Linked DNA regions of Ovis aries. The protein of the gene in region 1 purifies or fractionates together with the protein of each later gene. This does not show direct contact. Links are inferred from orthologs where the notes say so. Each region holds a gene or a part of one and is shown on either strand. Other genes may lie near its edges. The genes, in order: LRFN4 and NCK2.

The links.
Region 2: the proteins of LRFN4 (region 1) and NCK2 purify together in Homo sapiens (co-immunoprecipitation; 3 studies listed by BioGRID and IntAct, counting the BioPlex papers as one, with this or other methods). This does not show direct contact. The link is inferred for Ovis aries from reciprocal best matches to the Homo sapiens genes LRFN4 and NCK2.

Annotation. Positions count from the first base shown.
Region 1 is NC_056074.1:41,274,567-41,290,310, forward strand, and holds LRFN4 (leucine-rich repeat and fibronectin type-III domain-containing protein 4), read left to right. Parts: upstream 1-6,711; 5' UTR 6,712-6,720; coding exon 6,721-8,402; intron 8,403-8,976; coding exon 8,977-9,538; 3' UTR 9,539-9,799; downstream 9,800-15,744. Other genes in the region: PC (pyruvate carboxylase, mitochondrial), read right to left, coding at 1-170, 337-586, 709-949, 1,459-1,615, 2,121-2,342, 2,430-2,519, 2,847-2,991, 11,659-11,841 and 1 more. UniProt on the Homo sapiens protein: Promotes neurite outgrowth in hippocampal neurons. May play a role in redistributing DLG4 to the cell periphery.
Region 2 is NC_056056.1:60,809,555-60,824,569, forward strand, and holds part of NCK2 (cytoplasmic protein NCK2), read left to right. Parts: intron 1-9,679; 5' UTR 9,680-9,695; coding exon 9,696-9,921; intron 9,922-15,015. UniProt on the Homo sapiens protein: Adapter protein which associates with tyrosine-phosphorylated growth factor receptors or their cellular substrates. Maintains low levels of EIF2S1 phosphorylation by promoting its dephosphorylation by PP1.

The DNA.
Region 1 (15,744 bases):
CATGCTGTGCGCCTGGAAGTGTAGGTTGGTGTACTGGCCCCCTGGGATCTCGTTCTCGTACACGTCCGAGTTGCCAGACTTCATGGTGGCCGTGCAGTCAAAGGCCGCGTACAGCCCCCGGGCCCCCTCCCAGTACTCACTGTAGTCGAACACACGCTCCAGGGGCACACCTGCAGGGACACCAGAGGCGGGAGGCTTGGAAATGTGCTGAGTCCCAGAGGCCCCTCCCGGGACCCCAGGTCCAATCAGGCACCACCGCAGACGTGGGTGATGGAAGGCCCGGCCTGGAGAGGCCACCCCGACTGCCAGGACGGGCAGGGCTGTGGCTGTGCCTACCTGTGTCCAGGGCCGTCCCTCGGGTACAGGCCACCAGGGCCCCCATGCTGGGTTGTGACGTCATTCCAGACATGGAGTCAGCTGCCACGTCCACCACGTCAGCCCCCGCGTGGGCACAGGCCAGCATGGCTGCCACACCCGCCCCTGACGTGTCGTGGGTGTGGATGTGCAGCGGGAGGTCAGGGAAGCGGTCCCGGAGGGAGCTTACCAGCATGGTGCAGGCCATGGGCTTCAGCAGCCCGGCCATGTCCTGAGAGAAGCAGGGAGGAGACAGTGAGGGGTGGGCACGCGGTGTGCCCAGCGGGGGTGAGGTGCATCACAGCGGGGAGGCGGGGCGGGGGGCAGACTCCCGGGGGTGGGCTGGGCGGGCACCTTGATGCACAGGATGTGGGTGCCGGCTCGCACCAGCTCCTCGGCCAAGCCCAGGTAGTACTGCAGTGAGTACTTGGTGCGGCTGGGGTCGGACACGTCCCCCGTGTAGGAGATGGCGGCCTCCACCACGCCACCGGCACTGCCGGCTGCCTCCATGCCCAGCAGCAGGTTGGGCAGGTAGTTGAGGGAGTCAAAGACCCGGAAGATGTCCATGCCATTCTCCTTGGCCACCTCGCAGAACCTGAGTGGTTAGGAGCGCTCAGGGTTAGCTCCAGCCCACCCCCTCAGCACATCCTTTGCTGGCTCCTGGCCCTCTTGCAACCCCTGGAGAGTGAGATCTGAGGGCCGGGTCTGGCGGGGGCACCATGGCATGTCCATGGCGTGGATAAGCCTCTCTGGGGCAGCCTAGGTCGGGCGGGGTCACCCCAGCAGCATCTGACGAGCAGCAGAGCCGCCCGACGCCAGTCGCGTGCAGTGCGGCTCCGTCTGCCCCAGTCAGAAGGATCGCTGGGGATCGTTTGCTTTGCCAAGGCGTGGCAGGCTGAGGAGACGGAGGCCTGGCTTCCAGCTGCAGCTCTGCACACGTGTGCTGGGGCTCATCTGCCCTCCGGGGGCCTCCCCTGGAAGCCCTCCCAGTTCTCTCATTTGCCGCCCTGGCTGGGCACAGCTACTGAGGGTTGGTTTCCGGCCCACTGTGGGGCACGCAGGCCTCACACTGGGGCCCAAACGGCGCACCCCACCCAGGCTCACTTGAAGACCACGTTGTCGGGGTAGTTGGTGTAGCCCACGGCATTGGCCCCCCGCAGCAGCATCTGGAATGGGATGTTGGGGACGAGCTCCCGGAGCTCCTGCAGCCGTCGCCAGGGGCACTCGTATAGGAAGCGCATGGCGACGTCAAAGGTGGCTCCTGCACCGGGACCAAGGGGCCCAGGTCAGCCCCTCGCGTCCCAGGGGCCCTGCCACACCCCGAAGCCTGCACCTCCAGTCCTAACAGCGCCCTGCTCATCAGGGTCCCTTGCGTCCCGGGGGCCCTGCCACTCCCCGCAGCCTGCACCTCTGGTCCTAACAGCGCCCCACTCATCAGGGTCCATCGCGTCCTGGCACTAACCCCTGCACACTTTCCTTTGCTGGCCCCTCGGGGTCACGGTGTCCTCTCTGTGTCCCCCTCACGGCCCTCACCCCTCTTCTCTGTGCCACAGCACGCTAACAGGTTGGCATCTCCTCTCTCACCCCGAGCTGCCAGGGTCTCAGCTCCGCGACCTCAGGTCCGGGAGAAAGGACACCGGTCACTATTTGCTAAACCCGTGAACGCCTTGCCTTGTTCAGTTCTCATGGGTTCCCACCTCCAGCTTGTCCCAGAGAGCAACCCGCCTGCACTGTGGGGCCCACGCTCCCTCCCTCTCCCAGCCTACCTCCCCAGTTCTCTATGCTGAAGAGTTTGTTGAAGCTGTGGGCAACGTAGGGGGAGATCTTTTTGAGATCATGGGTGCGCACGCGCGTGGCCAGCAGTGACTGGTGGGCATCCCTGAAGGTCGTGTCCATCAGCAGCAGCCCCTCATGGTTCCGCACTGCTCGAGCAAAGCCCTCAGGCCCCTCCCGCAGCAGGATGTCTCTGAAACCCGTTGGGGGTGGGCCTAGGGCAGAGCGGGGCATTAGCACCCACCCTGCAAGTGGCAGCCTCCATGTCACCGCTGTGAGGTGGCAGAAGGGATCTCACCTACCGATGGGCACCACAGGGACGATGGGGTCTGTGGGGCTGGGGTTGGCCTTGACGGGGATCGGGGTGGTTGGGCCATTCACCATGACGTGTCCTGGGAAGAGAGTGGGCGAGGGTCAGGGCAGGCTGGGCCAAGCCTGAGTCGAGGGCAGAAGTGAGAGTGGCTGGGCCTGGGGCTGGGGGTACTCCTCCAGGACCCCGGGTCTTCCAGCTGGCCCCTGTCCTCTCCAGAGCCAGGGCCTCCTGGGTCAAGGCAGTGGGGACCTGGTGACGGCCACACGGAGGAAGAAGCAGCCTCTGAGATCAGGGGCGGGGGGTCAGGGGCGGGGGGTGAAGCAAAAGAAGAGGTGCGTGGCCAGGCCGAGGACGGGGCAGAAGCAAGGCATCCAGGGTGGGGAAGAGAAGGGAGACTCGGGCAAACCAAGGTAGTGCAGCAGCTTCTGGGCCCGGTTCTGTGCGGGCCGCAGCTGGAACAGCTCCGGGTTCTCGTCGATGAACTGCGTGTCCACGGTGCCTGCCAGGAACTGCTGGTTGTTGAGTACGTTCTGCAGGAAGGGGATGTTGGTCTGCAGGACAGAGGCAGGTAGGAGGGTGTCACTGTGCAGTCTGGCCAGGGACAGGAGTGGCTGGACGTGCTGCCGGGGACTGCGATGCAAGCCTCCCCGTGAAATGGCGGTCCCGCCCGCTTCACCACCCCCACCCCGGTCCTGGCTGAGCCCCCAGGCTGTCAGGGGCCTGAGCCCACCCCCCTACCCTGCTCGCCCTGGAGCCTGTGCTGAGTCCCGCCTCCCCACTCCTTCCAGCCAGACTGAAGACGGATTTGGCCTTTCCTGCAGCACCGCCCCTCCCCACCATGCTTCCTCAAAGGGGCCTCAACATCCAGGGACCCCACCACTGCACGCAGCATGCGCTCTGACAGTCTGAGGTCCCTCCTTCCAGTTAAATCCACCCTCCTCCTGCCAGCAACTCCCGCCGGGATGCCCTCTCCTTGGGCTTCCAAGACTTTTCGCTCCCCTCTGCCTCCTCCCTCGTTCCACGTTCCACGGGGGTTCCTCCCACCCCTGCAGGAAGGAGGCTGTCACCCAGCCTCTCCTTCTCGCCCAGCACTCTCTCCCAGGGTGGCCTGTCCTGGCCACTAGCTCCAGACCCCACATGGAAGTGCCTCCTGGGCACCTCTTCCTGAGCGCCCCTCACACAAGCTCATCCAATCCCATGTCGGCCTGTCTCCCCCAGGCCTCCCCTACCTTCCGTGGCATGCCTCACCACCCACCTGGCTCCCAAAACCTGAGCTCATCACCTTCACCACTCACTCCTGTGCCAACAGGCACACTGGACGACTCTACCACAGCCATCTCTGGACTCCGTGTCCCCTCGGCCTCAGGCCGGGCTTCCCAGTCACGGCCACCTCTAGTCACTCCAGACTTGCCCTGTGCGCTCACATCGCCACGCCTGCTGGCTGAGCTCCTCCTGAGGCCTGAACTCAAAGACCTTCCCGGTCCTCATCTCCTGCCCTCATGGCAGAGCCGTCCCTTTCTAGGACTCCATGGGACCAGCCGTGGGAAAGCCTTGCTCAGCCTCATCATCTTGTCTGCAATCTTCTCAGACCCGGGAGCACTTTAGAGGCAAGGGTGCCGTCTGAGGGGCTGGTGCCCACGTGCTCTGTGCACAAGGGCCCTCTGTTCTGCTTATTAAACAGCTGGGTGACAGCATGAAGCCGCGGCAGGGCTGAGTCCACCCTGGGGGCCAAGGAGGGGTCGGGTGGGAGTGCCTGGGAGCCCGTGCTACAGGAGCTGCCCCAGGACACGCTGCAAGGCCTAGTGGACGCGACTCCAGTGTGCGTGCACCTGTGGCTGTGTGGCTACGGCCCGGCTGTCACTTCAGAGAAGGCAACTTTGTGGGTTGCACATGCGCGATCCTCTCGCACCTTCAATAGGAAACCCAGGCCCACCAGGCCCTGGGCCCTGAGGCTGCTCTGAAAGATTCTTCCTGTCCCCAGGGCTCTCGTCACCTCCCCCACCAGCACCCACGGCGGCCACCGCAGAGTGGGGCCAGCCAACATTGCCTCATGCCTGCCGGGTGTAACCAGCTTGCCTGTCTGTCCCTGAGACTAGTCCGTGCTCCTCCTAAAATGGGGACCTTTCAGCTGGGCCAAGGCATGGAATCTGAGACAAGAAAACCAATTCAACCAGCTAAAGAACCTAGCGCATCATAGGGGTGGCAAGGATGCTAAGAGGCCTCCACGTCCCACCCTGTGTTTCCCTTGGGCAGACCCTTCCTCCTCTGTAATTTCTGGAGGATGTCACCCAATCCATCCTCCATGGGGGAGTAAGCTCCATGCAGGCAGGCAGGCCCCTCTGGTTTCCGATCTATCCCAGCTCCCCTCGGAGCAGCACGTGGTGGATGCCAGTAACTTGTACGTTGAGAGTGAATGAAAACGTTCTTGATAGGGAGAAGAAAAGGGAGTATCCGATGCCACTGAGCAAGAGGTGACCTGGGCAAGGATCCAGCGCCCTCATTTTACAAATTCAACAGCCGCAGAGGCCCGAGGAGTGGCACCAAAAAGAATGCTTTCCAGCTGCCTGAGCCCCTCACAAGTCACCTCCTCTCTTCTCTCAACCCATGAAGCACCAACAATCAACACTCCTTAGCCTGAATAAGAAAACTGTCTCAGTGGTTAAGAACTTGCCCAAGGTTACCGGGTGTACCAGGCAAGATTAGAAATCCAAGGAAACGGCAACCCACTCCAGTATTCTTGCCTGGGAAATCCCATGGACAGGGAAGCCTGGCGGAGTACAGTCCATAGGGTCTCAAGAGCTGCACAAGACTTAGCGACTAAACCACCACCGTTTCCTTGAGGAGCCTGAGGGCTAGAAAATACTTGGGGGAGGTGGTAACTTCCCTTGTTTCCCTGCTGGGCCCAGACGAAAGACCAGGGTCCGCGTTCAGCCTCAGAGCGCTCAGCGCTCCCAGCCGAGCCCGGATCTCAGAGGCAAAAGCCGGGAACTCAACCCCGCCGACACATCGCGGGACCCCCGTCTCAGCCGGGCCGACTCGTTCTGGGCCACTCTTTCAGGGAAATGCCCGGTAGGAACAGAAGGGGGAGGGAGGGGCCGCCGGGCAGGCCAGGAACCCTGACGCACAGCTTCAAACGGCGTGCCACTGCCGGCCTGCCGGGAAAGCGCGCCGCGCAGACCAATCGGGCCGGAGGCGGAGACCGGTTGGTTCCCGTGCGCGCCCGGCGGGGCGGGGAGCCTGGGACGAGGAGGGAGGGGCCGGCAGCGGGGGCGGGGCGCGGCGCCAGCCCGAGGCCGAGCCCTCTCCGCCCCACCCCGCTGGAGCCCGGCCGGGGGGCATCGCCCCAGCCCTCCCCTCCCCCCGCAGGGCCCGTGCCTGTTGGGGACCCTCCACGTGACTTGGTGATGCAGAACGGTTATGACCTTCACCGTGTGTCTGTGAACGCGAGGGTCCCAGCAACAGTGCGGGTTTGCACCCGGCCCTGCCGGTGGGTGCGGGGACGTGTGGGAGTGTGGGCATGTGTGGGTGTGTTGGGGAGGGTGCCCAACGACATGTGACAAAGACTCTCGTCTCTGGGAGATGGTGAAGGGGCCCGCGAGCTGGCGCTTTGTCTGCCTGTCTGCAGAGTGACGGTTCGCGCAGCGGCAGCAGGCGCCCGTGCGGTGCAGGATGCCGGGGCGCCAGGGTGGCCGGGGGCGCGCGCGCCTATGCCCGGGTGAGTGCGCTGCGGCAGCGCCGGGGGGCTGCGCGGCGGGTCCGCGCCGGCCCGGGCCTCGGGCGTGACCAGGAGCCACCCGTGGGCGCTGCAGTGGCCGCGTGTCCGGGTGACCTCGGGAGCCGGCCGGAGCCCGGGTGGATCCCCGCGCGCCCCTCCCCGTCCGCTCTCCACGTGCGTGTCCGCGGTGCGCGTGCTCGCTGGCGCGCACCCGCCTGCCTGTCGCTGCTGCTGCTGCTGCTGCCGCCGCCGCCGCCGCCGCGAATCGCTCCGGGAAAAGGTGCCGCGAACCGAGTGAGCTGGGGCCGCGGGCCCGAGCGCCATGGGCCGGAAGGCGCGCGGAACGCGGCTGGTCAGCCCCGGGCCTCATCCCCGCGGGAGAGGCGCCTGGAGTCGGCAAGGGCCGGCCGGGCCCACGGGGAGGCCGGCCCGCGCCCCCTGAGCTACGGACACCAGGTGAGGGGGCCGTGGGGGGCAGTGTGGGGAGCGGCCAGGGAGGGGCGGGGGCCCCAGGAGGGCTTGGGGAGGCACCTTAGCCGGCGGGGGAGGGGATGGCGCCGAAGGGATGCTGGCGAGTCCAGGGGACGCCAGGGGAAGGAAGTTCCGGGACCCTCCCTGCGCTCCCGGCCACCTCCGCTTCCTGCTCACGCCTCACCTTGTCCCCAGAGCCTGGGCTCCCTCTCACGGCTTGGGAAATGTGACCTTTATTCCGGGGGCCTGGCTCTGCAGGCCCCAGCCTTATCTCAGCTTTGGGGGACCCCTTGGGCCTTTGACCCTGACCCCACCCCCAGGCCGGGCTCTGGAAGCTGCCCCCCCCCAAGATCTGCCCGGGGCAAGTGGGCAGCGGTGCCAACCCCACCTGTGCCTGGGCTGTGGCCCTTCCTACAGGGCGCTCGCCATGGCCCCGCCGCTCCTGCTGCTGCTGCTGGCCAGTGGAGCGGCCGCCTGCCCACTGCCCTGCATCTGCCAGAACCTGTCGGAGTCGCTCAGCACCCTGTGTGCCCACCGAGGCCTGCTGTTCGTGCCGCCCAACGTGGACCGGCGCACGGTGGAGCTGCGGCTGGCTGACAACTTCATCCAGGCCCTGGGGCCGCCGGACTTCCGCAACATGACCGGGCTGGTGGACCTGACGCTGTCCCGCAACGCCATCACCCGCATCGGGGCCCGCGCCTTCGGGGACCTGGAGAGCCTGCGCTCCCTGCACCTGGACGGCAACAGGTTGGCGGAGCTGGGCGCAGGCAGCCTGCGGGGCCCTGCCAACCTGCAGCACCTCATCCTCAGTGGCAACCAGCTGGGCCGCATCGCGCCAGGCGCCTTCGACGACTTCCTGGGCAGCTTGGAGGACCTGGACCTGTCCTACAACAATCTGCGGCAAGTGCCCTGGGCCGGTATCGGCGCCATGCCCGCCCTGCACACCCTCAACCTGGACCACAACCTCATCGACGCGCTGCCCCCAGGCGCCTTTGCCCAGCTCAGCCAGCTCTCCCGCCTTGACCTCACTTCCAACCGCCTGGCCACGCTGGCGCCCGACCCGCTCTTCTCCCGGGGCCGCCACGCCGAGGCCTCGCCCACGCCACTGGTGCTGAGCTTCAGCGGGAACCCTCTGCACTGCAACTGCGAGCTGCTCTGGCTGCGGCGGCTGGCACGGCCCGACGACCTGGAGACCTGCGCCTCCCCGCCCGGCCTAGCCGGCCGCTACTTCTGGACGGTGCCCGAGGGCGAGTTCTCCTGTGAGCCGCCCCTCATCGCCCGCCACACACAGCGCCTCTGGGTGCTGGAGGGCCAGCGGGCCACGCTGCGGTGCCGGGCCCTCGGCGACCCCGCGCCCACCATGCACTGGGTCGGCCCCGATGACCGGCTGGTGGGCAACTCCTCCCGGGCTCGGGCTTTTCCCAATGGGACCCTGGAGATTGGGGTGACGGGCTCCGGGGACGCGGGGGCCTACACCTGTATTGCCACCAACCCGGCCGGCGAGGCCACGGCCCGCGTTGAACTGCGGGTGCTGGCTCTGCCCCACGGGGGGAACGGCAGCACCGAGGGGGGCCGCCCGGGGCCCTCGGACATCGCGGCTTCAGCCCGCACGGCTGCGGAGGGCGAGGGCACGCCTGAGTTGGAGCCGGCTGTGCAGGTGACGGAGGTGACAGCCACCTCCGGGCTGGTGAGCTGGGGGCCAGGGCGGCCAGCAGACCCCGTGTGGATGTTCCAGCTCCAGTACAACAGCAGCGAGGACGAGACCCTCATCTACCGGTGAGGGGGCGATCTGCAGTCCAGAGCCCCCAGCTTGGGAGCCGCCCTCCTCTGAGCCAGCTCTGCCCCCTCTGGGGAGGGCTGGCCACCTCTCCTGCCCCTGCTCTCTCCTGGGGCTTCCATGCACCCCTTCTCAGTTTCCGAGCTGGGGGGTCGTGGGGGCTGCAGGGGGAGGGGAGGGGAGGAGTCTGTGCCCCACGAGGTCCCAGGCGAGGCTGGCAGGCGGAGCCCGGGGTGCTGGCGTCTGTGTTCAGGCACTGGCTTAGCCTCACGGGCACTGCTGTGTGAGTCTCTGCAGCCTCTGAGGCCCGGGGCGGGCCTGGGTGTCGATGGGCACACCTGTCTGCCCTGCACCATCTCCAGGGCCACACGCGCCTGCTTGTTTCCTCCGCCTTCTGAAGTGAACACACAGGCTCCTGTGGGCCTGGGGAAGGGGCTTCTCAGAGCTGGGACCTGAGAGCGTGTGTGTGTGGGGGGGTGGGCTGCGAAGGGAGCTTCAAGGCCTTGTGGCCCTGGGCAGGGGGCGGGGGCCTGGACCCCAGGCCTGCGCTCTGACCCCTGCCCTTGCCCGCAGGATCGTCCCGGCCTCCAGCCATCGCTTCCTGTTGAAGCACCTGGTCCCGGGCGCCGACTACGACCTCTGCCTGCTGGCGCTGTCACCCGCTGCTGGGCCCTCTGACCTCACTGCCACCCGGCTGCTGGGCTGCGCCCACTTCTCCACGCTGCCAGCCACGCCCCTGTGCCACGCCCTGCAGGCCCACGTGCTGGGCGGGACCCTGACTGTGGCCGTAGGGGGCGTGCTGGTGGCTGCCTTACTGGTCTTCACTGTGGCCTTGCTGGTTCGGGGCCGGGGGGCCGGGAACGGCCGTCTCCCCCTCAAGCTCAGCCACGTGCAGTCGCAGACCAACGGAGGCCCCAGCCCCACGCCCAAGGCGCACCCCCCACGCAGCCCGCCGCCTCGCCCCCAGCGCAGCTGCTCCCTGGACCTGGGGGACAGCGGCGGGTGCTACGGTTACGCCAGGCGCCTCGGAGGGGCCTGGGCCCGACGGAGCCACTCTGTGCACGGGGGGCTGCTCGGGGCTGGGGGCCGGGGGGCGGGGGGCAGCGCCGAGCGGCTGGAGGAGAGCGTGGTCTGAGGGCTGGGAGACCTCCCGGGAGGCAGAGGGTGCAGGCGGGCGGCCTCCTGGCCTGGTGGGTCAGCGTGGCTGGAGAGCACCCGCCCCGGCCCTCCCCTCAGTGCCTCTGGCAGGACAGGGGCCCTTGCCCTGGTTCTGGCCTCCAGTCGGGCAAAACGGGACAGGCCCCTGTGATAGGTGCTCACGGCCTCCGAGCGGGGGCTGCAGCTGCCAAGTGGAAGTCTTGTCTTTCTTTATAATAAAATTATTGGGGCCACCTCAGTGCTAGTCTCTGGCCTGGTCCTGCCCGGCTCCCTGAGGGGCCTGTGGAAGCACAGACAAGGGGGTCAGGCTGGGGTTCCCAGCCCTGTGGAGGCGGCCCCAGCAGCCTGGGTGCCCTGGAGAGCAGGCGGCTCTGTGCCCACATCTATATGCAGAGGGCGCCCCTGCCTGGAGTGTGCGGCCAGGACGCTCGCCTGGCACAGACATCAGAGCGCACAGGGCAGCAGCGGGAGTCGGTGGGGGATGGCCCGGCTCTTCCGGGCAACGGGACCTGGGCTGGTAACTCAGAAAGTCCCCACTGACCCCTGCTGGTGACAGTGTCTTTCCCCATTGGCCAAGGTGCCTTCAGGATTTGTAACATCAAACCAAAGGGCCTAGAACCGCATCGCCCTGCTCTTGGTCTGGGACCCCCGGAGGGCTCCCGTCGGAAGTGCGGGCCCCGAGTGGGGTCTCGGCTCTCAGCTGCTCCCGACGCCCCTCAAGGCTTTGCTCTTGCTGGACATCCTGGGGCAAACACCAGGGGGCACCAGGCCCCCATGGCCACGGCTCTGGTTCCCACCTCGAGAACCAGGCTCGGGGCAGCATGCCCTGCCCTGTCCCACCCCCTCCAGCTCATGTCCCCACCAGCCCATGGCCCAGACGGCCTCCTCCAGCCTTCAAACAACCACTGCTCCCAAGTGTCGGCTGGGAGGAAGCTGCAAACACACCCCAGGCATGCGTGGTTCTCTGGTGGTGCCAGGAGCACCCATGCAGGTACCCGGGCCCCGCTGTGGAGGCAGGTGTGGCACCCCTGCCCGTGGGGCTGTACCTGTGCTGAGGGGTGGTGCGCCCTTCTGCCTAAGCCCTGCTGTGCCTCTGATGGCAGCCTGGTGAGAGCTGGTGTGGTAAGGTGCGTGTGTACGCGTGTGCCGGCTGAGCTCACACACGTGTGCGTGGCGTTGACACACACATGTGCCTGCCCACCCAGCCCCGGAACACATACCTGGATGTGGCCCAAGAGAGATCCTGGTTTAAATAAAGTGAAACAAGGGGTTCAGCCAAGAGAAGCAGGAGAATGTGAGCCGTGCCAGGGCAGCACGGAAGGCGGCGGGGCCGGTGCCCGGTCTGGGCATGCACCGGGGGGCACTGGGGCCCTCCTCCACCTTCTGGCGCGAAGGCAGTGGGAGCTTGGGAGCCCCCAGCCTGTCGGACGGGTGGACAGTACTATGGCCCAGGGTCACCAGCAGGACAAGAGCACAGGGGTGGGCAGGCGGGGGGTGGGGTGACCGGGCCCCCTGCTCACCAGTCCCCCGGCCCAGAGCAGCCCCGGACATGGCCTGCCACCATGCCACATCCCGGCCATGTGTGCAGGGAACGGCCCCTGACCAGGTGCCCTGAGGCTCTTCACGGAAGCGCAGATACCCCCAGCACGGGGGACAGCCCTGTCCTGTGAGGTGGGCTGAGAGCGGAGAGTGGCCACTGCCCCGCAGGCTCCTCCGTCCCGCCTGCTTTTTGAAAAGGTGATGGGGATGGAGCAGGGCTGAGCGAGGACAGCGCTGCCCACGTGGCCCAGACCCAGCGCCCAGCCTGGACCCAGCAGGGCGGGAGCCACTGAGAAGGCGGGGGCTGCGGAGTGCCGTGTGCGGTGTAGGGACTCGGGGGCAGCTCCCCCACCGTGGGCTGGGCCACTAGTGTGGTCCCCTGCCCCTGGCCCTGCAGCAGGTCTAAAGTGGCATGTGCCCAGGGCAGGCCCACGGGTACGCAGAGGCACTGGCCTCGGACACAAGACAGCCTGCGGCAATGACTTCACCTCTGGCTATGGACACAGGTGACAGAGATGACCCAGAGGCCAGGGGCATCTCGGGGCTGCAGCCTCTCACCTTCACGCCTCGGACTCGGAACTCGGCCAGGGCTCTGCTCATCTTGGTGGCAGCCGTGGGGTGGTCCTTGCCGTGGGCGATGACCTTGACCAGCAGGGAGTCGTAGTGGGGGGAGATGACAGCGCCTTGGAAGGCAGAGGCGTTGTCCAGGCGGATGCCCATGCCCTCCCCGCTCCGGAACACCTGCGGGCAGAGGTGGCCCAGTCAGGCCAAGGTCTGAAGCTGGAGTCGAGACATGGCACCCCCGTGGCCCCAGGCTGGACCAGCATGGGCCGGCAGGGCTCCAAGAGTCACGCACAGATGACCCCCAACTCTGGTTTGAGAACTTCTGCTTCATTTCTGCCAGCAAACCGAGGGGCACCCCACCGGCTCTAAGGGCCACAGTCACGGTTTCCTCCTCCCTGAGAGGAGCTGGCAGGGGAAGAGGGCAGGACGAAGGGTGGGGAGCATGGGCCCCGCCAGCCCCAGGCTCGGGGCCCCACTCTCAGGGCCGACGCGGAGTCAGCAGGGCACGGAGGGGCCAGACCTGCCACCCGCCTGCTTGACCAGCCCCCTTGCCTTTCAGATTCATTTGTTCACTCATTCAGTCCGCAGCGCGTGTGCCCACCTCACGCCAGGCACTGGGGACAGAGCAGCTAAAACAGAGGCCCCGCTCAAGCAGGGGTCCCAGCCTGCGGGGCGAGGGGACAGACAGAGGAGGAAACACAGACGAGCGGCAAGGGCGCTGCAGGACGGAGCCAGGCAGGGGAGGCAGGCCGAGGGGGTCCCTAACACCCAGCGACAGGGAAGGCCTCGGGGTCCCCCGCCTTCCCTCCCTGTCAAGTGGGAGAGGAAGGAGCAGTGAGCTGATGAGAAACGCTGGGACCAGATGCAACGAGATGCACGTGAGCCCACAGGCCCAGACAGGGAAGCAGAGGGCGAGGGTCAGAGAGGCGGCTCAGGGGCACAGCCGGGGCTCCCAGGAGTCACCGGTGGAGACTCAGGGCTGGGGGAGGGGCTTTGGGTGTGAATGCCCGGGGTGGGGGCCTCGTGAGCAGCACTGGCCAGGGAGACGGGGAGCGGGAGGGACAAGCGGGGGCCTGGGGACACACACTGCACTGCACTTCCGCGTCTAAGGGACACAGCCTGTGCGTGATAAAAAGGAGCTTAATAAAATATTTAAGCGTGAACGCTCAGCTGTGAGCAGGAACCGTCAGCTAAAAATATTCTGTGGTAAACCAGGCTCGGAGGAGCCAGGCCTCGGAGATGGAGCTGTAGCGGGGCTGCCCCTGCCCGCCGAGGGCAGACTCGATGGGGGCGCCCGCTGGACAGTGCTCCAGCCTGGGAGCTGGCCCCCACCTGTGGACCTGGATCCTTCCAGAAACAGTCCTGGTGGTAGCTCTGCCTCAAGCCAAGCAGCCAATGCGACTCTCAGAACCAGACTGCTCCCCACCCCACCCCGCCTGGCCACCCCAGTCTGTCCTCTCAGGCTCAGTAACGGAGAATCACCCTCCTGTCCTCCCTCAGGTCCGCTTCCCCAGACTCCTGGGCCAGAGGGGGCAGCAGGAGGGCCGCAGAGTGCTGACTTGGAGCCAGAGGTATTCTTAGCTGGGGCATGAGGCAGGGCCAGAGGCCAGGGGCCCCAGCCGGCCCAGAGGCAGGGGCCGGGGGAGTCCACCAGGCCCCCTACGCCACTGCTCGGGCTCCTCCCTGTCCCCACCATCTCCCGGACTCCCGCATGCATCCCTGACAGGTCCCCTGGCCCAGCCCAGCCCCTCCACTGAGACCTCCGGGACCTCATCCCTCATGCGCCCGGCTCCTCCCCCAGGTTGAAGGCAGGACCGAAGCCAGCAGGACCCCTCAGTGGGCAGCGAAGCTTTGGGTCCTTGTGAGATGAGTCAAGGACCTGGGCTCTGTTCCTGGGGATTCCGCACTTGGCTCCACCCAGCTGACCTCCCTGTCCCCGCTGGTGGCCTTCCCAGCCTCCATGGCAGCCTCTCCCAGGAATGCTCTCCCCTTTAGTGCTGGACAGCGCCTGGCTCCCACATACTCTTAAGCTCCAGTGAGGCGCCCCCTTCACTGCTGGGCCCACAGGCTCCCTCGTGCCCCCCGGAGAATGGCCTTCATGCAGACCGAGCCGGGCGGCGGGCTCTGGCGGAGGTGGCCTACCTCGATGCGGCCGGTGTCGGGCTGGAAGCTGCGCGCGGGGTCCTCGGTGGTGACCCGGCACTGGATGGCGCAGCCGTTGATGCGGATGTTCTCCTGCCGGAGGCCCAGGTCAGGCAGGCTCCGGCCCTCAGCCACGTGGATCTGGGCATGGACCAGGTCCACACTGCAGGTTGGGGGAGGGACGGGGAGGGGGCGGCATGAGGCAGGGGATGGCTGCGGGCAGCCCTGGCCCCCGGCCCTGCCTGCTGACCCTCACCAGCCTCGTCCTGACCACGCCCAGGCTGGGAGCCCTGCAGGGTCCGCCTGAGGAGCAGCTGAGATGTTAGCAGCACCCTGGGCTTGCCCCCCACCTCCACCCCCAACTCTGCCCTGCGCCCTCCCTGTCCCCCTGCCTCCCGCAGACCCTCCTGACATCAGACCCTCCCTCTCACAGCGGTACATGCTACTCTGTGTGTGGTGGGTGGGGTGGGGGTCAGTTTGCCAGAGAAGATCTCAGAGTACAATCTCCACATGAGCCTGGTTTTCTAAGCACACCCTCCCTGACTGCCAAGCTCTTAAGGACAGCAACAAATTCAAGTGGAACAGCTGTTTAAAAGCTCCAGGTTTTCAATTTATTGTCACTGAGGCTTGTGGTAAGGACAGCCAGGAAACATCATCGGCAGACCTTCCCCAGTGTTCTGTATTTCAGTAGCGATGATGATTACTGGGCATTGCCATGCGTCCACACCGTGGACTGTGGCTGTGCCCTTCCCAAGCTTTACCTCCACAGTAATGCTCTGAGAGCCACCAACATTCCCATCAGAGGATGAGCCCGAGGGTCAGAGAGGTTGCAGCCCAACCAAGCTCTACGTGGCTCGTGACCTGGGAGGAACCTGCGCCCGAGTCTGTGTCTCTCTGACACAGAAGAACCTCTGCTCGGGAGCAAGCAAAGAGCCCGACCCTTAGCAGAACTGGCTTAGGGCAGGCTCAAGATTGACGAAAAATTTCCAGCATCGTGAAGGGGAAAGTCTCACGGGGCCAGAGGGTGAGGCTGGAGCACGTGGTCCACTCAGCCTTTACCTGGAGACAGGGAGGACTCTGGGGGCTCTCACACCTGCCAGGTGAAGGCAGGCGCCCCAGCAGTGTCCTCAGTCTCCAGTTGGGTCAGAGGTTGAAGAAGGAACTGTCAGGAAAGTTCCATGGTGGGATGGACTGGCCCAAGGCCAGGACATAACACTTCGACGGCTCAAAATATGTTTTTTGAAACGAAGAGAGGCCATATTAATTATTTATAAATTGGGCAGGTTTTTTTGGGAAATGTCTCTACGCAATGCTTGTGGGAGAACCAATCGGTACAGGTGATCTAGAAAGCTCTTTAGGTGGTGATGGTGGTGTCCAGTTGCTAAGTAGTGCCCACTAGCTGGTCACTCTCTGTGACCCCATGAACTGCAGCATGCCAGGCTTCCCTCTCCTTCACTCTCTCTTTAGGTGAGATATTGCTTATTCATTGCTCAGGTAATCCTACTAAAGATGCGCGTCCTCAGAACTCTTCAAAGAGGTGGGCAAAGATTTAGGCCCAAAGATGTTGAGTGACACACCCTTAAAAGCCACAAAAGTAGAAAACAACCTAATTATTTAAAAATAGAGGACTATGGGGATCAGTTATAAACTAACCAGAAGATGGAACACTGTGCGGCCACTTCTAAGAATTCAGAAAGAGTAATGGGAATGCCTTAGACAAATATGACATTTGAAACGTAAAATAAAAGTCATATACAAAACATCTCAATTGTGTCAAACTACTTATACAGTTAAGTAAATAAAGATGGAAAGAAACCAAACGATTTAGCGTGGGCTTAGGAGATACAGCACAGGGCTTGAGAGGACCAGCTGTGCGATCTCGGGCAACTCTCTTAACCTCTCTGAGCCCCGGTTTTGTCAACCGAAAAATGGGGTTGA
Region 2 (15,015 bases), on another chromosome or scaffold:
ATGGTATCAAAGGTGAATGTGAAAGTATGTGTTAGTCATTCAGTTGTGTCTGACTCTCTGCAACCCCACGGACTGTGTAGTCTACCAGGCTCCTCTGTCCATGGGATTTCCCAGGCAAGAATACTGGAGTGGGTTGCCATCCCCTTCTCCAGGGGATCTTCCCTACGCAGGGATCAGACCTGGGTCTCCTGCATTGCAGGCAGATTCTTTACCACCAAGCCACCAGGGAAGTCCCTATCTAAGGTGAGATTGTTTTAAATAAAGTTCCTTAATTGTGAACCCAGCTGCACATCAGGACTTGAGCACAGGAAGTAGCATCTCAGTGTCTTGTGTCCATGAGAAGTCTGGTGGTGGAGGCCACACAGCTGCTAGCAAAGAGCACCCGTGCTGCTGTTCACATGCTCGCTGGGTACCCAGGCTCAGGCCCTTCTAAGTGCTCAGTTTATGAGGAGACACAATCCTTGTTTGCGAGGAATCTTATTCAGCGAAAAAGCAGACAATAAAAATGTACGTGAGGTCCCAGTACGTGCCAGGGAGAGAGGAAGGAGAGCAGGAAAATGTGTGTGTGTTGGGGGGGAGTAGCTGTGGATGCAGCGGTTCTTTCAGATGAGGGGGGCGGAGACTTGGTTTCATCAGGGGGCGCTGTGAATTTGGGAAGGGGGGAGAGGGGCAGGGGAGGCAAGAGGAGCAGGGAGCGTGAGCTTGGAGGAAGAGCTGGCCTCAGATCGCGTTCTTCTGTGATAGGAAGGTGCGAGGCTTGAACGGAGGAGATACAACCTACCATCCCTCCGTTTAGGAGCATCACAGGCCACTGCCAGAGAGGCAGGCTGTGAGGGCGGAGACTGACCAGTGGGGGAGAAAAAACTGTGTGGTCTGGGCCCAGGTGGGGCTGGCTTGGAGCTGGGCAGTGGAGGGTCCGACGGAGGTAAGATTTGAGAAATATTTTGAAGGTGAACTGACGACTTTGCTGATGAAATGAATGGAGCAAGAGACATGCCAAGATTTTTGCCTTGTGGGCACCTGGACAGATGCTCATCTTATGCTCATGGACTCAGAGGAGGCCTGGGGAGACAGAGAGGGTGGATTTTGTGGTCACTCTTTAATTGGTTTTCTTTTGCTGTGGTTTGGTGTAAATGGTGAAGAGTTCTGTTTGGGTGAGTTGGAGAACAGTTGGAGTGTCTCAGAGGTGGGGGAGGAGTCCGCATCTGTCGGAGCATGTGGAGCATTCAGGTGGAGGTGTCTCAGAGGTGGAGGAGGAGTCCACGTCTGGGGGGGCAGGGCTGGAGGCCACACTTGGAGCAGCTTGTTTAGAGAGGGGGCAAAAGGATGGAGTTGAAGCCCCCAGACAGCCTAGATCGGAAGCATGAGGAGGGGCCTGTAAGAGAGGAGGAGAGGAAGTGGAGCAGGGCTGGGTGCTCCAGGGAATGGAGCGGAGGGCGCCCCTTCAATGGCTAATGGACAGTGTCTGCTGTCAGCAGGCAGGAAAGACAATCCAGGAGAGAGAGGAATGACCCAGCCAAGAGAAATGGGAGTGACCACAGGACGGGTTCCTTCATGAAGAGCAGGGTGGGCCCCGTTCAGCGCAGATGAGGCTTTCCTTCCCCGGGGTCACCTGCGTCACCTGAGGTTACCTGTTTCATCTGTTCGCTGGGTGGGAGAGCCCGTTATATGCTGACAGTGGCTGCTGAGGCTGCAGCCGCCCGGCCTAATGGAAAGGTCAAGGAAAGACGCTGATGATTCAAGGTTAATATGCACCTGCCTCATCACCTTTCTTCAGAATGATTGATCTAGCCAGCCTCAAAGAAGACCAGGGTCATAAACAGCTTTAAAATGTTGCCAGTCCCATTGTGTAATATAAACCTTACATGGATGAAATATGATTTATTGACTTCAAAACAGAGACAAAAGGACCAACAAAACAAATATAATATTTTACCTCTGGCATATTAACCTGTAATTTCAGAACAATACCTGTGTGCACACATAGATATAGACATATCCAAATATAGAGCTATGAGCAGATAATTGGAGAGCAACTGGTAAGAAGAGACTGACTACATGGGGGAAAAAAATTCATCCTTACCTTGATTTTCAACATACATTCTGAATTAGTCCAGTAAGGTAATCTACTTCAATATGGGTCTTAAGGCTTTTTCTTTATAAGAGCTCAGGCCTTCAATGTGGTCAACCAATTATTATAGAAATTCACTCAAATAGAGGTTTTCAGTATGACAACCCACTCCAGTATACTTTCCTGGAGAATCCCATGGACAGAGGAGCTTGGAGGGCTACAGTCCATGGGGTCACAAAGTCAGACATGACTTAGCAACTAAACAAGTAGGAAGAATATTAGCCTGGCCCCCAAAGATGTCCGCATCCTCCTCCTTGGAAACCTGTGAATATGTCAGGCTATGTGGGGAAACACGGGGGAAAGGAGGTTACTGATCAGCTCATCTTGGGGGAACACCCTTGCAGGCCTTTGTGACCACAGAGGCCCTGTGAGCAGGAGAGGAGGCTGAAGAATAAGAGAGGAACCTGCCTGGACCAGGGCAGTGCCCAGAAGCTGGAAGACGTAAGGACCATTCTTCCCTGGACCCTCCAGAGGGAACATGGCCCTGCCCATACCTTGACTCAGCCCCAGTGAGACCCAGCTGGGACTTCTGCCCCACAGAACTGTAAGGGAATGTTGGGCTGTTTCAAGCCGCTAAGTCTATGCAAGTGCCTACAGCAGCCCACGGAAAAAGAATGCCATGAGTAACCATGCCACGGTCAGTCCAAACAAAAATAACACTTTCATTGTTTTCTCTCATTTATCACACTGTTTTCCTCCCTTTGTTTATTTTGCAAATACTTTAAAATAGTACACTTGCTTTAAGGAGACCCACTCAGAGAAACGGTGTCAGAAGCAACTTTAAAAGACCTTATAAATTCTTTACTAAAGTTTCAAGTTTATTAAAGTTTCAGATTGCATGGTAGATAAGACTTACCAGATGCCAACTCATTTGACAGGAGTTGGCAGGAGCTTGTGGTGCCCTGAGGGGAACAGAAAGGCCAGTTGGTGGCTTTCTGCAAGCGTATCACTAATTACAGCTGCTAGACTTCAACTTCAAGTAGGACACGATATGGAATCTCATGTTGCTCCAGCTCTCAGCAAGTTAATTAAGCCATGATGAGAGTCAAGGTATTACTGCTTCCCTAAGGCACAAAAATACACTACATGTAAAAGAGAAAATAAACAACAGAACGGGCTTGGCACGCCTTCCTCCATGGGGAGGGGCACATGGTCAAAGATTGTTGTTTTTAGTTGCTAAATTGTGTCCAACTCTGTGACCCCATGCAGCGTAGCCCGCCATGCACAGACTCCTCTGTCCATGGGATTCTCCAGGCAAGAATAGTGGAGTAGGTTGCTATTTCCTCCTCCAAGGGATCTTCCTGACCCAGGGATCGGAACCCATGTCTCCTGCCTTGGCAGGCGAATTCTTTACTGCCAAGTCACCAGGGAAGCCCAGTCATAGGAGGAGCTGCTAGCATCCCCCTGGTGCCCATGGGGCTGCTTCCTAACTGTGAGCTCATCCCAGCTCTGCAGTCACCCTGTGAAGCAGGGACGATGGATCTACAGAGACACTGAATGAATGATGAAACTGGGGCTTAGAGATGTAAGATAACCTGTCCACGTCCACAGGCTGGAAAGTGCCTGAGCCAGGATTCAAACCGACGAGAAGGGTCTTATCCCAAAGCCTGAGCGCCCCGCACTGTCCTCTTACATGCTAGAGTACTGGGCAGGAGATTTTGGCAGCCTGGCCCCCTGGCACTAACCATCAGTGCTATACCATGCACAGTGCTTTCATGCTGACTGTGATTCCCGTTCTGAGTCTGTGTGTGGGCAGGGGGCTCAGAGCTGTTTTCACAAACTCCTGGAGGAGGTGTTCTTCTTGCCCCACACGACAGAAGGGCAGCTGGGCTGAGGTGCACAGCCGACTCCAGCCCAGGCCTGTATGACATGAAACCTCGCCCCTTAATCACGACATCACTGGGCTGCTTCCAGGGGTCTGGATACCTCCTGAAGCGAGGCAGTTACTGCTGTCTTGTCCTACAGAATGAGAGGAAGGCCAGGGGGATGCACAGAAGGCCCAGCTAAGCATTGACCCCAGATTATTGTTTCTTATGTTAATTTTTATTTGCTTGGCTGCACTGGGTCTTAGTTGTGGGGTCTTTGGATCTTCATTGTAGCAGGCGGGGTCTTTAGTTGCAGCATGTGAACTCAGGTTGCTGCATATGGGATCCAGCTCCCCATCCAGGGATCAAACCTTTTACAGTGGGCAAGAAATCTTAGCCACTGGACCACCTAGGAAATCCTGAACCCCAGACTCTTTATTCAGGTTTTTTGTTTGTAGTTATGAGTGGTTCAGCTTGGCCCCCGAGACCCCTTTGGGAGTGTCCGTGAGCATTTTGGGGTATTGGTTGTTCTGAGAATTATGTAATCCAGCCCTAAAGCAGCAAGCTGCAGTTAACAGGCTCTTTTTTAGAGAGTCCCAGAATAGGACTGATATTATTTTAGGAGTTAGTGACAACTGCCGGGCCAAGAAAGTTTTATAACTATTCCAGTCTGTTTGGGGTTTTTTTTTTTTTTTTTTTTTTTAAATCTTCTTCCACCCAAGACTTGAAAAAGCAGCTTAGCATGTTAGATTTTCTGAGTTTCTTTAATTCAGTATAAAATAGGGTTTTTCTTGCTAATCTGTATCGCTAACTGTTAAAAGTGTATGACTGGTCGCATGACATGAAACATGGCCTGGCTGCAGAATATTAACTTTGTGGCTCTTCTTTCTGTTGGCTATAGGTGGGTGAATATTAGCTTAGTGAATGAAGGCAAAAATTTGATTTTCCTGACCTGCCCAAGCTGGAGGGGTAAATGTACACTATGCTTTGTATCTGACCTCTGTAAGTCCTAGACCACATCAGCGTCCCATTTCTGACATAAAATTTCTGAGGTCAATTAGAAGGTACTTCCTCAGACTTTCTTCTGTTATGGCTTTTCTGTATTAGGAATTTAAGTCACTTTGTACATCTGGTTTATATTGGGGGATAATCTTAATTCAGTGCCAGCCTCTTCTTGTTACACAGTTCATCCTACACTCATATCAGACTTCTCATTACTGGAAGGACTGGCTCCTCTTGGCCTCCTGGAGCAGTTTCCCAGGACCTTGGGTGGAACCCCCACTCTTGCCCCCCTACCCTTACCAACAGCTCCCTCCAGGGTGGCCGTCCAGCCGCCAGTCTCTACAGCCTGAATGGCCAAAGGAAGGCAAAGTGGGGTCTGTGGCCTGGGTGCTGGTGGGCGGGGTGGGTAGACCTGTGCACTGACTGTGATTGGTTGTCGATGGGGGTGTGTGGCTATTGTTGTGGTTGTTGATGGGGGAGTGTGGTCATTGGGGTGAGGTGGTTGTTGATGGAGAGCTGTGATTGCTAGCGTGAGGTGGTGGTTGATGGTGGGCTCTGATCACTCACCCAAGAAGTGATCACAGGACCACAACCCTGGGCTCAAGTCCTGGCTCTGCTGTTCAGCAAGTCACTGAATCTCTGATTGTCCCTCTCTTTAAAATTTGCACTTCCCCAAGAGGTGGGTGTTTGGAGATTAAATGAGCACCCTGTGCACGCTAGTGTCCTCCCCTAGACTAAGCACTCACTTCAACAGTCCCTGCTCCAGACCCAGGAGGAGCACCTTCAAGGAGGGCTGTTGGAGTCACCTGAGGCCCGTGAAATGCTAGGGACATTCAGCCCCCACTCCTGGGGGTCCCAGGTGCCCGAGGAGGTTGGAGTCAGGCACAGCATGTTCTAGGCTCCTTTCCCTGTGATTGTCAACCTGCACTGAAACCTACCATGCCAGCCAGAGCCTAACTTACCAGCTTTTTCACGAAGTTAAATTGTGCAGAAAATTTATAGATTGCTTTGATTGGTCTTGAATGATGTGCTGTTCTTGTTAAAATCTCTCTTTAAAACAACTGTAATTTGAGACACAAACCTGGTATCCCAATAAAATACTGTCTGAACCTCATTCCTTTTACTGCTCGGGCCCCTCCCCTCATGACTGAAAAAAGAGAAACGACCTCCATGACCTTCAAAAATCAAGCCTGACAGTGAGTTCAGTACATATGGAGACACCCATGGACTTGAGATTTTCTGAAAGTAGATAACAGTATTGCCTACAGTTTAGAAATGAGCTTTGTGTAAACTGTCTCCCTGGATATTGTGTACATTATGTGTAAGGTTTATTCATCATCGCCTCCTTCCCCAAAGGTTTGTTATCTGTAAGTTTGGAAGTTAATTCATGAAGGAGGAGAACATGTATTATTTATAAGTGTCTTTAGCATCTAGCAGCAGAGAGTGTCATGTTATTTAAAAATGGGATTCATTCTTCTGTGGAGTCAGTGCGCTAGGTCCCCTCTGTCATCCTGAAGTAGACCCTGTAAATAATGAGAACTCCTCCCTGTCAGATAAGGAGAGGGTTTCAGTCAAAAGCCTTTCCATTATTCATGTCTTCCTAGTTTTGAGTAAATGTGTAGTCATTTAAATGACTGAATGTTGAATTTTTCTGTTGCAAACATACTGGCCCACCTTCTACCTGAGAAGTTAGGAAATAGCTCATAACTATAGTCATTGTGGAGCTTCCCCGGTGGCTGAGTGGTAAAAAATCTGCCTGCCAATGCAGGAGATGCAGGTTCGATGCTTGAGTCGGGAAGATCCCCTGGAAGAGGAAATGGCAACCCACTCCAGTATTCTTGCCTGGAGAATCCCGTGGACAGAGGAGCCTGGTGGGCTGTGGTTCATGGGGGTCACAAAGAGTTGGGTATGACTGAAGAACTAAACACTAGCCATAGTTACTGTAGTCATTCAGATATACTTTTACTATTTGTTACTTTGAGAACTGACTTACTGAGGTAGGTAATATACCGAATTCTTTGTTGTTTTAATAAACTTTTGGTTTTGGAGTTCACTCTTGGTATTTCCTGACAAATGTGTCATGACATGTGTCCACTGTTACTGTATCGTGCAGAATTGTCAGACTGCTCTAAACATCCCTGTGTTCCACCCAGTCCTCCTTCCTTCTGTCTCTGATCTTTGCAATGTCTCTGTAGTTTTGCCATTTCCGGAATGTTATATACTTGGATTTATTGAAGAAAACATGACACTTCTTAAAGCATGGTTTAGCTGATTTTACTCAGGGAAGTACTTTGAAGGATTTTTGCCATAGTGGGGAGAGACTGGGCTCACATCCACCTACAGGAGGGAAGGGGGGGGGGTAGTTTGTAGTCCAGGAGTGAGGAGGTGGGGAGCACATGAGAGGAAGCATCAGAGGTGAGAGGGGGTTCTGGCTGCACTGACCTCACAAGATGCCTCCTAAGAAGAGGCGTCACCTCTCTAAGGGTCCAGCAACTCAGCAGGATTCTTGCTAGAATTCAGAGAGTTGATGTCTAGTCTGCGCAGAGAATTCAGAGGAGTCTGACTCAAGTTTGGTCAAGGAGAGAGTTTTTGTGAGAATCACAGTCTGCAGCCTTCTCAGATGGGCTTCTTCCACATAGTCTTATATGTATCTGAAGTTCCTCCACGTCTTTTCATGGCTTGACAGCTCATTTCTTTTTATCACTGAGTAATATTTCACTGGGGCTTCCCTGCTGGCTCGGACTTCCCTGGTGACTCAGACAGTAAAGCGTCTGTCTACAATGCGGGAGACCCGGGTTCGATCCCTGGGTTGGGAAGATCCCCTGAAGAAAAAAGTGGCAATCCACTCCAGGACTATTGCCTGGAAAATCCCGTGGACAGAGGAGCCTGGTAGGCTACAGTCCATGGGGTCACAAAGAGTTGGACGCGACTGAGCGACTTCACTTCACTTCCCTGCTGGCTCAGTTGCAAAGAATCTGTCTGCCAGTGCAGGAGGCGCAGGTTCAGTCTTTGGATTGGAAATATCCCCTGGAGAAGGAAACGGCAACCCATTCTGGTATTCTTGTCTGGGAAAATCTCATGGACAGAGTAGCCTGGCAGGTCTCAGTGAGTCGGACACAACTCCGGAACTTAACAACAACAATCAATAATACTCCATTATTTGGATGGACTATAGTTGATTTACCCATCACCTACTGATGGGCAGCTGGATGACTCCCAAATCTTGGCAGTTATGAATGAAGCCGCTATAAACATCTGTGTTTCAGGTTCCAGGGATGATTTTATATTTATGGAAAAGCTGCAAAGATGGTGCAAAGCATTCCAAATATCCCCCACTCAGTTTTCTAAGTGCTAACATCTTGCCTGACAAGGGACATGTGTCGGAAGTAAGAGTTGGTTAGTGGTAAACTATTGACTAACTTCACTTTGTTGCTGTGGTTATTTAGTCACTCAGTCGTGTCTGACTCTTTGTGACCCTGTGGACTGTAGCCCACCAGGCTTCTCTGTTCATGGAATCTCCCAGGCAAGAATACTAAAGTGGGTTGCCATTTCCTCCTCCAGGAGATCTTCTCGACCCAGGGATCAAACCCATGCCTCGTGTATTGGCAGGCAGATCCTTTACCTCTGAGTCACCAGGGAAGCCCCAGACTTCCCTTGGATTTCTCTAGTGTTCATATTTGAGGATTCAGTCCAGGATACCATTTCAGTTTGAGTGTGTCACAGTCATTAAGTATGTTCAGAAAATTCAGCTTATCCTGAGAAAATGGATGTAACAGTGTCAGCTGTAAGAATCTGGTGTTACTTAACCGATGAACAGAAGATGAGATGGTTGGATGGCATCACTGACTCAATGGACATGAGGTTGAGTAAATTACAGAAGTTGGCAATGAACGGGGGGCCTGGCGTGCTGCAATCCATGGGGTCGTAAAGAGTCGGACACGACTGAGTGACTGGACTGAACTGAACATATTTAATTATGATACCATTATTTTATGTAGGTTTTGGAAAGCTTTTGTTGTTTTAAGCAAAGCATACAGAGTTCCAACTGTGCAAAATTAAGATTTGCTTGATAAGGTCAAGCATTTGGTCATTTCTAAACAAAATACTAAAGGTTGTTGAAGGAAGGTCATCTTAAGGTTTTTTCAAGACCCCAGAGACAGCCAGTTGCCAACTTGTTTTTTAAAACCTTTTATTTTGTATTGGAGTATAGCTGCTTAACAATGTTGTGATAGTTTCAGGTGGACAACAAAGGGACTCAGCCATACATATTCATGTGTCTGTTCTCCCCTAAACTCCCCTCTCATCCAGGCTGCCACATGATATTGAGCAGAGTTCCCAGTGCTCTACAGTAGGTCCTTGTTGGTTAACCATTTTAAGTAGAGCAGTGTGTACATGTCCATCCCACGCTCCCTAACTATCCCTTCCCCCAGCCTTTCCCCTGGCCACCATAAGTTTGTTCTCTAAGTCTCTGAGTCTGTTTCTGTTTTGTAAGATTCATCTGTATCATGTCCTTTTAGATTCCACGTATAGGGGATGCCATACAAGTTCCCCTTCTCTGTCTGACTTGCCTCAGTCAGTATGATGATCTCTGGGTCCATCCATGTTGCTGCAAATGGCATCGCTTCATTCTTTCTGATGGTTGCCAAGCTGTAATAAAAGCTGTCAGGGTGTAGTTTTCCAAGTGGAGGCAGTGGTGTTTGGCCAGGGCTCTAATGACTCTCTTCAAATGTTTTGCTGGCAGAAGTACTCCATGAAAGATGACAGAGGAGGTCATCGTCATAGCCAAGTGGGACTACACGGCCCAGCAGGATCAGGAGCTGGACATCAAGAAGAACGAGCGCCTGTGGCTACTGGACGACTCCAAGACGTGGTGGCGGGTGCGCAACGCAGCCAACCGGACAGGCTATGTGCCGTCCAACTACGTGGAGAGGAAAAACAGCCTGAAGAAGGGCTCGCTGGTGAAGAACATCAAGGACACGCTCGGTGAGTGGCGGGCGTAGCGGGCCCCTGGGCTGGACCCTAGCCCAGCGCAGAGGGCGGGCAGTCTCAGGGCAGGGGGTCGGGGGGGTCGTCATTTTCATTCGTGTTTGAAGAAAAAAAGGCATCTTTCTATTCGTCTTTCTTAAGAGTCTCTGGGCTTTGAGATGCAGTGCAGAAATAGCCTGTTTGTCATTTCCTTGCGATGTTCAAGTTCGGAGGCTTCTGTAAGCTGACCCTTCCATGTGTTTTGAACCTCTACCTCCCGCCCTGCACATCTCAGTCTCCTGGCATCAATGTTCTGGAGGGGCCTGAGATGGGAATTAGCCTCTCCAGGCACGTCCACAGCTCCACCCGGGTCATTCCATCCAGTCTTTTCTCCCACAGAATCCTGTGCGTGGGACCTTTGTGAGTAGAGGAGGAGATAGTGAAAAGCACCTGGAACCTGGTGAATTGTTTCCCCCTGTTGAATTGGCGGCATTTCATACCACAGTTGCGCACGGTGGCAGCTAAGGTGGGGACTCGGAGGGGGTGGTATGATGCCGAGGCCGCTGGGGTGACTCACAGGGGGCCAGCTGGGCACCTGGCTTTCTTCCCATGCGCCTGTCCCCTTCCCTGGTGTCTGGACATGAGAGAGGCCATCTGGGTCCACTGGAGTTGATGGTATCCGGTCTCACCTTCGTGTGGGCATCAGGCTTCCTTGCAGTAGTCACGGCTGCAGAGGGAGTCAGAGTTACTTCCTGAAGGTCAGGTCCGTGATGTCTCCTTCCATGAGCACCATACAGTGACCCCTGAGACCACTGGCTGTCACGGGAGAGTTTGCTCTCGAAATAGGTCAGTGTTATCACCCACGTTACATGTCCTTGAAGTTTTCCTTTTTATTTCTAACCTGAGAATTGGTTTCATTTGAGGGAGGGGAACAGGTAGGGAAACTGAAAGGAGAATTAAGCTCTGAGTGTGATGAGTGTTGCAAAATATTCATCTTTCATTTTCTGCAATCTTGAAGAGTCCACTGACTTTCTTTGAAACCATACGAAGCCTTCACCCACTGGAGAGTAATTTTGTGTCATGGGTTAGGTTATTTCCGTGACTCTGAAAGAGAAATGAGACACTGGCCAGCGTGTGGATCACATCAGCTACTGTAGACTCTGCCTGATGGAGAAATTCTGCTTTTCATGAGCAATCTGATTCTTTTCCATGAAAGTGACACCCGTTTGTCTTTTTTCCCAAGCTTGTCACTTGAAAGAAACACTGTTGTCCTGTGCGTATAATTCTCCATTAACTGTGATCTAGAATTTCGGAAAGTATGACTAGGTAAATACTTTAGGAGTGCCCTGAACTTAGTTTTATTTCTTCTTTTCCTTATCCACTCAAGTCCCTTTTTTTTTTTGGAGATGCTCAACATTGTTGATTTGTTTTGTCTTCTTTCTAATCCTTTTAAAAAAATATATTCTCAAGATTCTAGTAAAGAATGATGTTATTTAGTCACTAAGTCGTGTTTGACTCTTTGTGACCCCCATGGACTGTAGCCTACCAGGCTCCTCTGTCCATGAGATTTTTCCAGGCAAGAATACTGGAGTGGGTTGCCTTTTCCTCTTCCAGGGAATCTTCCCGACCTAGGGATCAAACTCGTATCTCCTGCATTTGCAGGTGGATTTTTTACTGCTGAGCCATCGGGGAAGTGCAATAAAGAATAAAACACCCAGAAATGGGATGGATCGCTGGGGAGTGAAATAAGGTGAAGGTAGCCCTCCAAGTTCCCCACAAATCCCCTTGAACAGCTTGTCCTTCCTCCCTTCAGCTTCTAGAACAAGAAGACAGCTGAGCTGTAAAGCACATTTGTGCTCAGGTTCAATTTTTCACGAGCCATGGTCAGTCTCTGGGACTCCCAGGACTCAGGGGGCATCACTCAGCCAGCTTGTCCACGTGTGGAGTGCCAGGCTTTCTCCCCCGCCCCAACAGATGGCCACCCAGCTCTGCAGGCTCATGTCTCCTTCCACGGAGCCAGCCAGTTCCATTTTGGGAGAACACAGATTGCTAGAAAGCTCTTCCTTAAATAGAATCAACATTCGCTCCTCTGTAACTCTCTCCGCGCAGCTCTCCTTGGCACTTGAGAGCTGTGCTGGGGAACCGTGCTTCTTTTCTGGGGACTGACCACCCTTCTCCACCTTTCCTCCCCCGTCAGGCCTTGGAAATGTTTGCACCAACCGTCATCTACTGTAAAAACACCAACAAAGTTATGTTCTGAACATCCATATCAATCCACAGCAGTTAATATTTATAGTAAGCAGTGGTCCTCAACCTTTTTGGCACCAGGGACTGTTTTCGTGGAAGACAATTTTTCCACAGACTGGAGGGGAGAGGATGATTCCAGGATGATTCAAACACATTACATTTATTGTGCACTTTATTTCTATCATTCTTACATCATCTCCACCTCAGATCATTAGGTGTTAGATACTGGATATTAGGGACCCCTGCTCTAAAGGCTCATGGGGTTCAGTATTCTCATCACCTGGGAGAAACTCCCCCCTTCATGGTTGGTCTTTCTTGCTTTGATGTGTTTACCTTGCTCACCCAAAGCCTTGCTTTTCTTGGACAAAGAGACCTTGTTGTCTTGGCCTGAGTCCTCCATTGGCCCCTCAAGCAGTGTCACTGAAAAGGGAGGCACCCGACAAGAGGCACCGTGGTGGAGTGACTTATCTCTCCATCATCAGACCTGACATGGCATCAGTATTGAGAAGGAAGGTGCCAAGACTTTCCCCATCCTCTCCTGCCTCCCGCTGGTCTTTGGAGCTAAGCCTTCCAAGGCTTCTGGTTTAAATCGATGTGACCTGTGTGCTGCTGTCGGAATTCCAGTGTGATCCTAGATGGATTACGGAGCCAGTGGATTTTCTTTCCACCGTGCATCAGAAATAGTGAAAACGGGCTCAGAAACCACACCACATGTGTGAACCTTCTAATAGCTACTCATGACATCATCCATGTTTGTGATTCGCCTGCTATGGTTAAAGCCAGATTAAGATTTCCCCGGCAGACACCTGGCTTGGGACAAAACAGCACAGACTTCCCAGCAAAGTCCCTGTGTACCACATGCCTGGTGACATCTCTAGTTGCAGACAACGGTGATCCACAGAGCCTCTCTGGCTTTTTTACATTCCTGCACTGGATTGAGGTTGGTCGCCAGTTTAATTCAATCACTTCTCATCCTTTGTTGGGCAGAAAGCAGTGTGTGTAGGCATGCTCAGTCATGTCCAGTCTTTGTGACCCCATGGACTGTAGCCCTCCAGGCTCCTCTGTCCATGGCATTTTCCAGGCAAGAACACTAGGTTGCCATGCCCTCCTTCAGGGGATCTTCCCGACCCAGATCAAACCTGAGTCTCTTCTGTCTCCTTCATTGGCAGGCAGACTCTTTACCACTAGTGCCACTTGGGAAGCCCCTAGACATAAAGCAGAGCCTTCCCCCCGAAGAGCTCTCTGTTAGGAACCAGATAACATTCTTTCTTTTCTTTTAATAATTTGTAATGAAGTAAAACAACATGAGCACTTCTTTGCATACAGGCAGTGCATTGATGCATACGTGCAACCATAGATCTCTCATACTCAGTTCGCGATCATGAACAGTCAAAGAGAACTTTGCCGCTAATAACAAGGAGCCGTCCTTATGAATTGCTTCTCCTAGCAGAGTGCGGGTAATATTTTAAAGGTTCAGCACATCCCTGGGCTCCAACCTGGCCTTGGTATTTCCATGACCTGACTCATAAAACCATGCAGGTGAGGTGTTATCAAGCCACGTGCTAAATCTTCTTAGCTGAAGGAGGTATTTTCTCGAAGAGCTATCTTTCTTGCTACTTCTCGACAGCAGCTGGACCCTGCTGCAGCCCCAAAGGTTAGCTGTCTTCTCAGTGATCACCTTAGGCCCAGGTACTGACCAGGCTGCCTAGAGAACCACGGCTCCATTATAACCTGTTAGTAGCCACCAGTGGAGGGTTGGCTCCAAGGCCCGCATGTCCACTGCAGACTGCCTCCCATGGTGTCTTGAACCAGCAGTGGGCTGCCACCAGGGCTGTTCCTTAGCCTTGGCCTCTATGTGACCTGACCTGAGGCCAGTTAGTCACCTGCCAGCGGTTAGCACCAAGACTCTACCTTTCTGAGTTCATGCCAGACCCGGGAGCAGAGAGAGGCTGCTCAAAGACCACTGCTCACTCTCTGAAGTACACCTCGTGCTGTCTGGGCTGAGGCTTGTGGTTGGAGAGGGACTGGTCCTGGGAGTGAAATTCCCCAGGTTCCTCAAAGCATATCCATGTGGGGTTGACTGAGCAATTTACTTCTGCAAGAAAAGGCACAGATGGGACAACTTGGGATTTTTTTTTTTAACTTTATTTTTTATTGGAGCATAACAGATTAACAATGTTGTGGTAGTTTCAGGTGAAGAGCAATGGGACCCAGTCGTGCATATACATGTATCCGTTCTCCTCCTAACTCTCCTCCCATCCAGCCTGCCACATAACACTGAGTGGAGTTCCCTGTGCTGTATGTAGGTAAATTTGCTTGTGTGTGTGTTTATTTTTAACCAACTCGAATATCAGGATTTAACTGGGTGGGCATTTGACAGGACTTTATAGCAAAGATAAGCAGCTAGGATGTTAAAAGGAAATTCTAGTGGTATGCGGTTCTCTATTTTAGAGATGAAAAACCAGAGTTTTATTCGTAAAGCTTGAGGGGTGTGTGAGTATGACAGTGAACATGTGTCGGTGTTAACGCCCTGGTTTTGATGGCAGGGTTGTGTTGAGGAGGAGGCTGTCTTCATGTGTGGAGGTGCACACCAGGTATTGAGGTAATGGGACAGGACACTGGCAGCTTGCTCTCAGAGAGCTCAGGGAAACACATCCTTTGTGCTGTTCTTACAACTTTACCAAACATTAAACCAAATGGGCAGACATCAAGTGGCCGAGGTTCTATTCCTGGGTCCGGAAGATCCCCTGGAGAAGGAAATGGCAGCTCACTCCAGTATTCTTGCCTGGAAAATCCCATGCACAGAGGAGCCTGGAAGGCTGCAGTCCATGGGTCGCGAGAGTGAGTGGGACATGAATGAGTGAC